2 linked regions of the Macaca fascicularis genome follow. The protein of the gene in region 1 binds, or shares a complex with, the protein of each later gene. Links are inferred from orthologs where the notes say so. Each region holds a gene or a part of one and is shown in the gene's direction. Other genes may lie near its edges. The genes, in order: LZTS1 and ASB7.

Region 1 (4,389 bases):
GTGTTCTTAAACCCCTTGCTGTGCCATCTTTCAGGAAGCCTAGATTCGAGGGTCAGAGTCTTCAGGGTCAAGACCCGAAGGCAGTGAGGTTCCCCTACAGGGTTTTGAGCAGGGAGCAGGGGTGTGACAGAAACCAGATGGCTTGTTTTCCTTTGAGCTGTCTCCCCACCCCCCACCATTCTATTTAATTATTTTATTTTATTTTATTTTATTTTGAGACAAGGTCTCACTCTGTCACCCAGGCTGGAGTTCAGTGGCGCTTTGGCTCACTGCAACCTCTGCCTTCCAGGCTCAAGCAATTCCCAAGCCTCAGCCTCCCAAGTAGCTGGGATTACAGGCTCCCGCCACCACACCCAGCTAATTTTTGTATTATTATTATTTTCTTTTTTAGTAGAGACGGAGTTTCACCATGTTGGCCAGGCTGGTCTCGAACTCCTGACTGAAGTGATCCACCCGCCTGGGCCTCCCAAAGTGCTGGGATTACAGGCATGAGCCACCTCATCCAGCCCCCATGCTATTTATAATCAGAGATTGGTCATGTCAATCCTAATCCATTACATCTAATCCCTTTCCCACCTCCCCCCACACACGCTTTTTTCAAGGTGAGGCTGACACTCCTTGGGCAGAGCTGCCACCTTCCCATCAAGCCTGGTTTTAGCGGATTAGCCTCAGTGCACCCTCAAGTCCCCAAGCCTCAGGCAGCACCTGGCACTTCGGTTAACTGACCCTTTGTCCTACAAAACCCTGTAAGTTTGTATCCTCTCCTGGCTCAATTGCTACAAGTTAAAAGCGAGGGTGGCAGAGAAAATGATAGTGTTAGAAGGGCACTGGGTGAGATTAACAGCTATAAACTTGAAACAGGCCTCTGCTTTCACCTGAAACTCAGCTCTCTCAGAGTTGGAAAAGTTTGCCTTTGCAATGTTTTGGGAGTGGGAGTCTCGATGCTCTGGACTCGAGTCTGTAATCCCGGTGTGGTGTGCAATGCCCCTCACTTGGGTGCTAGTCCAGTCCTTGAACAAAACACACGCCCTTTAGTGCGAGTCGGGAGTGGGAGAGACGGTATTAGGAAAAAGAAACTGGCGAGTAAGAGGAAGGGGTAATGAAGAATGGGGAACATACAGAGAACGAGAGACGGAATGGATTAAAAAAAAAAAACTGGAGTAAGAATTTCAGGTAATGAAAGGGAAAAAAGGATGCGTAAAGAGCAAGACAGGAACAATCGGAGAAAGGGGGCCAGGCAAGAAAGGAAGACCGAGGGGGCAGGGTCGCCCGAAGGGGCTGATGGAAGTGAGAGCAGAGAGACCGGACCGGGGACCCCGCGCAGGCCGCGGGCGCCAAGGAGCAGCGAGGTCGCCGGCAGCCCCAGCTGTCAGCCCGGAACAAAGGCCGCCGAGCGGCACAAACCGGCTGCCGGCAGCTCGCTGCCAATCAGCGGTGCCGGCGCTGGCCCCGCCCCGGGCCGGCCCCGCCCCTCCCCGCCCCGCCCCGCCCAGGCTCCGGGACCCGCGCAGAGGCCGGCGCGCCTGGAGCTGGCGGGTTGGCAGCGGCCGGGCGGGGAGGCCGAAAGTTTCTCTGCCTGCCTCGGCCGGCGAGTAGGAGCCGGGAGCTGCATCCCGCGCGGTGGGACCGGCCCGGCCCGCTCAGCAGCTCTGGAAAAAGAGAGACGAGAACACACCGGGAAACACTGGGAAAAAAAAAAAAATCTCAAGTGCGCCCGAGGCGCAGGGGGCAGGTAAGATGCGGTGGCCGGGGGTCTCCCCGCCCCTGGAGGGTCTGCTGCCCTGGCTGAGGGAAAACTAGCTCCCCGTGCCGGGCTGGCCCGTCCGTGCGTCCGCGCGTCCGTCCGTCTTTGTCTGTCTGTGTCCGTGGCTGTCGAGGTGTCTTTGTCTCCGCGTGGAGCTGTCAGGGTCTCCCCTCTGCAGGGTGGGCGCCGCTGCTCCGGCCCGGCCCGGAGGAGATGACTGAAGGTGCGTCCGTCCTCCTGTCTTTGTCTCCGTGTCTCCTGCAGACGGGGCTCGTCTATTTCCAGCCCCGATGCTGATCCTGGCGGGGACGTCAGTGTTAGGTGACACTGGTGTCGGAGGTGAAGAAGTGGGACGTGGGGACGCGAGGCCGCAGGAGCAGGGGCCGCAGGAAGAAGGTCCGGCGGTCGCGCCGGGCCGCTGAACTTCGATGCCTGGAACTTTGCGGATAAGCTGTGTCCACACCGGTGGGGAGGACATCGGTGCGATGCAGCGAGATATTTCAAAGGTTTACCTCAAGGAATAAGTCATACGGGGGGAGACGGTTAGAGAGGACGGTGGTATATCGGAGTGTCTAAGTGGTTCCCTGGGGCTACAGGTTCCTGGGGTCGGTCCTGGGTGTGCAATTCAGGAATTTAGTCAAAGCACCACGCACACACAGAGCACCACACTAACTTCACTTCTTCCACCGCCACCCTAGGCAGCCAGACCTCACCCCTCCTCCCTGCTACAGGCTTTGCTCTGGCTGGAGAGGCTTCAGAGGTCGCAGCTCGGCAGCAACAGGCACCCCCGAGACACCAAGGGCCAGGTGATGTTTCTCTTTCCTGCTCCAAGTGGAAAGGTTTGAACTGTGGAGCAAATGAGTGTTGTGCTCGCCCACGAGTATGTCAGGCCTGGGAAAGTGCTCCAGACTTGTTAGCTTCGCAGTCCTCAATTTCCCAGGAATGAGAAGTGCTTAGGGATCTGGCCTCCTAAAGCGTTTCCTGTCTGGCTTATTCCCTCCACACCGTCCCGCTGCCGTCAGTCTCTCTGCTCTCTGGTCCTGGGCGCTGGGAAACTACTAAGGAGGCACTGAGTTCTGGACCGTGCTGGGCAGGCGCTGCTCCTAATAAGGATCCCACACTCTGCTGGAAGTGCAGCCTAATAGGAGTGCTGGGAGCCCAGGAGCCCAGCCACAAAGAGATGAGCTATCTGCTTGGCAGTTCCTGCACCAAGACCCTGAGAAGAGTCTGCGGGCAAGAGGGTGTTTGTAACCTGAGCTTTCTCTAAGTTCAAAAACAATTTTCAGCAGGCATCCAGAGGGAGTATGGAGGTGTCTGAAGAGTGTGCGCATATGGGTATTAGAGATAGCATTTACAGAGGGGAAAGGTGTTTATGTTTAAGAGTGGAATGGAACATAGTCTGTGGGTAGGAGTCTGCGGGCAGAGAGCATACAGGCTAATCAGGCGTGGCGTTACACCTTGTATTTATCCAGCGCTTTTCTTTGGAGGCGCTTTCTGCTCATCATAGACGTTATCTCATATGTTATCTCCTTTATCCTCACAACATAACTACCAGGTTGGCCCGGTGGGCTCTCTGTGCCTGCCAGTGAAGAAGCGGAGGCATCAGAAGGGAAAGGCATTCCCTGAGGTCCTACAGCTAATGGGAGGGAGCAACTGGGAGTCCTAGTAAGAGGTCTCAGCTGGGTGGATGTGAGTGTGCGGCGCTCAATCTGCTTAAGAAGAGAAGAAAACTAGTAGAAAAAGAAAGGGCATCTCTGTGGGTGTCTATATGCAAGCAAAAGGGAGGATGGGACATTTGATGTGCTGAAGATGGTTGTTATTTAACATTTATAGCAGCGACTGTGTGTTTCACGAAGTAAACCTGTCTCAGCAATTCAGCTTGTCTGCAGGAAGTGCCCCCAACTGTGTGTGCCTGGGTCGATGTGGGACAGGGGTGCTATCAGAGAAGGAGTGCTGCTGTGTGGGGTGTGCTGGGGAAAGCCAGTGCTTTGGGAGTGTGTGAGGGAAAGATGTGCCATTCAGTTTTGAGAAGCCGTGGGTCAGCGTGTATAGCAAAGCTATACATGGGCTCCAGACGTACATAAATGGCTTTCTAATCCTGAAAACTTATTTATATGCCTTGCGCTTATTCAACATTCATTTCATAAATATTCATTGGGTGCCTACCAAATGCAGGGCTCTGGGCTAGGCAGTGAGGCTAGGAAGATGAATAATGTAATGATGACAAACCTATATGGGTAAGCACCTTATAGACTAGTGTAATGGATAATAGCGTAACACTTAATACCAACCACTAAATACACTGTGTGCCCGGGACTTTTTATTCATTATCTCATTTAATTTTCACTGCAGCCCTGCAGGGTATGTATAATTATCAGATGAGGAGAGTTAGGTAATTTAGCCAGGCTACAAAACCGAGGGGCAGGGATTTGAGATCAGCTTAGTAAGGTTCTGGACCCTGGCTCTGTCCATGTTATTCTGTTACCTTTGAACATAGGAACACTGTTTCTTCTACGTAAAATATTCCTGCCTGGTCTCTCTACCTTCTCCACTTAACTGGCTCCCAATTTCTTGCTCAGTCACCCAGGCTGGAGTGAAGTGGTGCGATCTTGGCTCACTGCAACCTCCACCTGTCGGGTTCAAGC
Region 2 (4,337 bases), on another chromosome or scaffold:
AGATGGCTGCTCAAATGTCACTTCTTCAGAGACCTTTCCTATCTTTCTTAGTTCGTTTCCTTCTGCTTATAAAATGATTTCTAAAACTAGGTAATTTATAAAGAAAAGTAATTTATTGTCTACAGTTTTGGAGGCTGGGAAGTCTAAGACTGACGGACCACATCTGGTGTCAGGAGGCAGCGCTGCTAAGTATCACGTGGTCAGGGGGCTGAGCAGGCTCACGTGTTGTCAAGTCTCTCCTTAAAAAGCCACCAGTTCTACCTCCATGATAACCCATTAACCCATGAATAGATTAATCCACTCATGAAGACAGAACCCTCAAGATCCAACCACATCTTAAAGACTCTACCTCTCAGTACTGCCACATTGGGGATTAAATTTCAACATGAGTTATGGAGCGGACAGATATTCACACCATAGCACTACCTATCTAATATAGCCCATCACGTCCTGGTCAAAATCGATCCCACCATTCTGCTTGATTTTCCTCATATAACCCATCCCTATCTGATAATTTTGTGTATGTCTCCCCGAAATCACTATCTTGTTCACTGTTGTCTCCCCAAGGACTAGAACTGTGGCCAGTAAACACTTGCTAGATGAATATAAAGTGCTTAATAAACATGCCTTGATCAGTTTATCTCGCATTTTCTCCACGCCCCCTCTCCATTCATTCACAGGAACCCGCCAACGTTGCTATCCTTTCAGGAAAGTCCTTGGCCCGGCATCGCCATCCCAAAGACAGGCCCTTCTCCCACTCTAGGGGAGGCATTGGCAGCCTGGAAGCTACCGGGGTCTCAGGGACCAACAGCCGCGCCAAGACCGGGTACTTGCGTCTGAGAAGCGTTGAACAGGGGCGGAGAGACAGGGCACCCCTTTGTTTGCTTCCTGGAGCCTGCCGCCCTCCCAGCCTTAAGCCCTGAACCAGTCCCTCATTTGGCCGCACTCGTGCCTCCCCTGCTGCCAGCTCAGCGGCCGCTCCCGGTTACCTGCTTGGGATCTGGCTCAGGCGAACACTCTTCACACCGCCATTCGAGGGAACACAAATGCTCCCTCTGGGCCACCGTAGTTCACAGAAAGTACAAGCTGGCCCCTCCCGCCGCATGCGCAGAGCCCGCGTTCGGCGTATAGTGTCTCTTAGCAACGGCTTTGAGTCCCTCCGCCAGGGGCGGAGCCTCGGAAGCCACCACGGGGAAGCTGTAGGGGGAAGTGAGTGAGACCAATCGGAGACGAATCTCTGCTTCGTTCGGCACGCCTCCCTTAACTGTCGCGAATGCAGAGGCAACTTTACGGCAGGCAGAGGGTGGGGGCTGCTGGGGGTAAGGAGGAGAGAAGGAAGCAAGCAACCAACCAAGTCGCCCCCACTCCCCCCACCCCCACCCATCCCGGACCTGGTTTACGGCTCCAGGCTCAGGCTCCACTGCGGCCGCTGATTGGTTGCTGAAGGCTTGGTCCCATCCCAGTGACCCCAAAGTGCTGGAGGGAGGGGGCGGGGGTGGCCCAGTGCAAAGTGCATCTCGAAAGCCCCCTGTCCGGAGACCCCACGACTGGCACTTCGGGCCCCGTATGACCTGGGACCTCGCCGTCCCGAGACCTCCTGGGTCCTTCCGTAGCTGGAAGCCTCCGGCCCGGAGCGCGGCAGCCCCCTGCTCCGAGCCCTGGACCGGGACTGCCCCCCCACCCGAGCCGGGACTTCCTCCCTGCCTCCCTGCACCCCTGCCCCAAGGCTGCCCGGCGGCCGGGATCGCCACCTCCTGCCTGCTCGTCTGTTCGGATGCTCGCCGGGCTGGGGCCGTGAGGCACCGAGGAGGTTCAGGAACGCCAGGGTCCGGCCCTGCCTGGGGTATTTCTTCTATGGAGAAGTTGGTGAGTGTAGAGGAGGCTGAAAGGAGGAAGAGAAGCAGCAGCTGAGGAGACAGGTAAAGTCCTTTACCTCTCCCGAAGGGAAGAGGGCTGGCTGAGGAAGGAGGGAGGAAAATCTCTGCTTTTTCTTGCCTGCTCTTGCCACTCTCCAGCCCCTTTCCTGAGTTCCCCCTTCTTCAGAGCCCCCTCCTCCTCACCCCTGAGGCACTACACCACTCACTGGTTTCTGTTTTTCTAGGTTTGAGCTGGCTGAAGAGGACGCGAAAGCAGGAACGGGTCTGCCCACCTATCAGAGAAGCAGAAGGCACAGTGCCTCTGACCAGCATCGTCTATAAAGGTAATGAGCCAGCCCTCCCCTCCCCCACTGTTTATTCCTGGCCCCTACCTCATTAAGCAGTGGTTTATTTTCAGGGTGGTTGCCTGGGAATGCAACCTTTTCTAGCCCCCCCACCCCCAGTTTCCCAGGAAAAATAAAAACATTACCCGTGCCTGATCCTTAACATTTTATAACTTCTCTACTCAGGAACGTATTTTCCCACTTTCTCTCTGTACAGTGTGTTTCTGTGTTTTTCATTATCTTTTGGTACACTGTGCCATTTACTCTGCTCTGAGGCTTTGAGACCTTTTTGTAGCTACCCTCCCTTCCTTACTCTCATAGGAATTCCTCAATTCCTTGTTAATTGCTTGTTAATTCTGAACCACTTTCGTTTTTAATTAAACCACAATTTACTGTTTTCCCCCTTATTCTTTCCTATCACCTTTCTTCTACCAGCATCAGAAAAATCTTTTGAGTTATCGAACTGACATCGATTTGGTAGAGAAAGGTAAATTATTGGCCTGAGATTTATGAGTTTCAGAAAATAATTTGATTTTATTTCCTACTAGAAAGCCAACCTGTGTACCTTAAGAGTGTGAATGGTATGAAGGCAACATTATTACCCTGAAGCACTTAGGCGTAATTAACTCTTTGGGCTTTCTGTGTGTTTGTGTGTGACAAATGTGGATGGGCTTTGAAACTTATAAAGATACAAACAATGTTTGTTACACCTCAGATTTTCTAGAAGAGCTTTTAAAAATTTACACAATATCTTATTAATCATTTGACTCAGGATTTTAAAAACAAAGGAACCTTTTGGTGTGTTTACATATCTGGGTCTTAATTTTAGCACTCTATAAAAAAGATTTCTCTTTCTAAAACCTTTACATAGAGTTTGCTAGATTGAAATTTAGGCATCCAATTCATGTGATCACATTTCTTCTGCCATATTTTGTTGTTGCTTCTGAATATGCACTGAAAGTAAACTTAGGACATTAGTGTAATTCCTAAAAAGGGGATATAAGCATGAAAATTATACAAGGTTTAATTCCAAAATTAGCCAAATGAATGACTTTTCTAACGTCCAGTAGCAAAAGTATAAAGTGACTTGTTAATCTGAGTTATTTTAATATCCCAGATTGTTTAGGGAATTTTTGTTACAAGGAAGTACTTAAAATAGCAGAAGTTAATATTTTTGATTTCCTATGTTCCACTGGACTTTCTGCCTTCCACAAAAAGAAATTAGCATCTTTACTGATTCTGTTAATTCTCAAGACATAGCTAAAGACGTTTTTAAGGGGATCTGCGGTATACATATTCTTGAGACATGGAACTGCATGCTAAAAGAAGAGATTCTAGGGAATAGGATTTAGAATCAGTATCTACCAATGACTGTTCCCTGATGAATACTTAGGGCAGCTTTTGTATGTATATGTGGGGAATCAGGAGTACTTGACTATGTCATTTCAGTAAAAGCTAAGCAGAAATCTTTAAAGGCTAATTTTTATTATGTAAGTATGGAAGTTGCCAGGGAGATGGCCTAATGATTACTTCAGAACTTTTAAAAAATGCTAAAATATTTGAAGCATGTTTTAAAGATCAAAATGAAGTACTGTGTTTTGTATTCAAGCCTCTCAGTTAAATATTTTTTCAGCTTTAGATTTAACTCTAGGATGCTTTCATTTCTAAGAAGTAGTTTCACCTGAGATGGTAAGGGAGGGAGTCTGTGGCTATTCCAGTATATAAGGTAAGAGAGGAGAGGGCTTTACTCTGACTCTCAGCCAGTTCATTCTCATTGCTTAAATAGTATTGGATCATCTCATCTTTTAATGGTTTTTCTAAGATTAGGGAATATATATAAATTGTCAACATCTGTCATGTTTCTAATATCAGAATGATTGAGAGAGTTTTGTCTAGATTATACCAGACATTTAGAATATTTAATTTGGGTATTTATTTACCAACATGGCTAGTTAGGTAGCTTACATTTTTTAACCTGGCAGTTAGCTTTGTATTAATTCTATTGCCAATCATGTGGCTTTAAAAAAGTCCAATTTATTTGGTCACCAAATATAGATTTATAATCATGTAGTGCGAATAATTGATTTTAATTGAAGATATACAACGATGCATCTTTAGTATACTGTGGCCAGTACTT

The links.
Region 2: the proteins of LZTS1 (region 1) and ASB7 are in contact, whole or in part, in a crystal structure (PDB 8Y1U), measured with the Homo sapiens proteins. The link is inferred for Macaca fascicularis from reciprocal best matches to the Homo sapiens genes LZTS1 and ASB7. Residues at the interface, in NP_001349813.1 of Homo sapiens: Arg346, Glu348, Leu349, Leu352, Met353, Glu355, Gln356, Leu358, Leu359, Glu360, Lys362, Leu363, Arg364, Ser365, Tyr366; in NP_937886.1 of Homo sapiens: Asn46, Trp48, Ala56, Ile79, Phe82, Tyr87, Met90, His91, Asp116, Trp118, Val123, His126, Tyr127, Ser147, Lys149, Thr151, Gln155, Leu156, Ile159, Arg160, Phe182, Arg185, Tyr186, Ile189, Lys190, Arg210, Leu220, Leu223.

What each region holds. Positions count from the first base shown.
Region 1 is NC_088382.1:23,355,132-23,359,520, reverse strand, and holds the start of LZTS1 (leucine zipper putative tumor suppressor 1), read left to right. Parts: upstream 1-1,507; 5' UTR 1,508-1,732; intron 1,733-4,389. UniProt on the Homo sapiens protein: Involved in the regulation of cell growth. May stabilize the active CDC2-cyclin B1 complex and thereby contribute to the regulation of the cell cycle and the prevention of uncontrolled cell proliferation. May act as a tumor suppressor.
Region 2 is NC_088381.1:85,656,023-85,660,359, forward strand, and holds the start of ASB7 (ankyrin repeat and SOCS box protein 7), read left to right. Parts: upstream 1-1,478; 5' UTR 1,479-1,919; intron 1,920-2,101; 5' UTR 2,102-2,200; intron 2,201-4,337. UniProt on the Homo sapiens protein: Probable substrate-recognition component of a SCF-like ECS (Elongin-Cullin-SOCS-box protein) E3 ubiquitin-protein ligase complex which mediates the ubiquitination and subsequent proteasomal degradation of target proteins.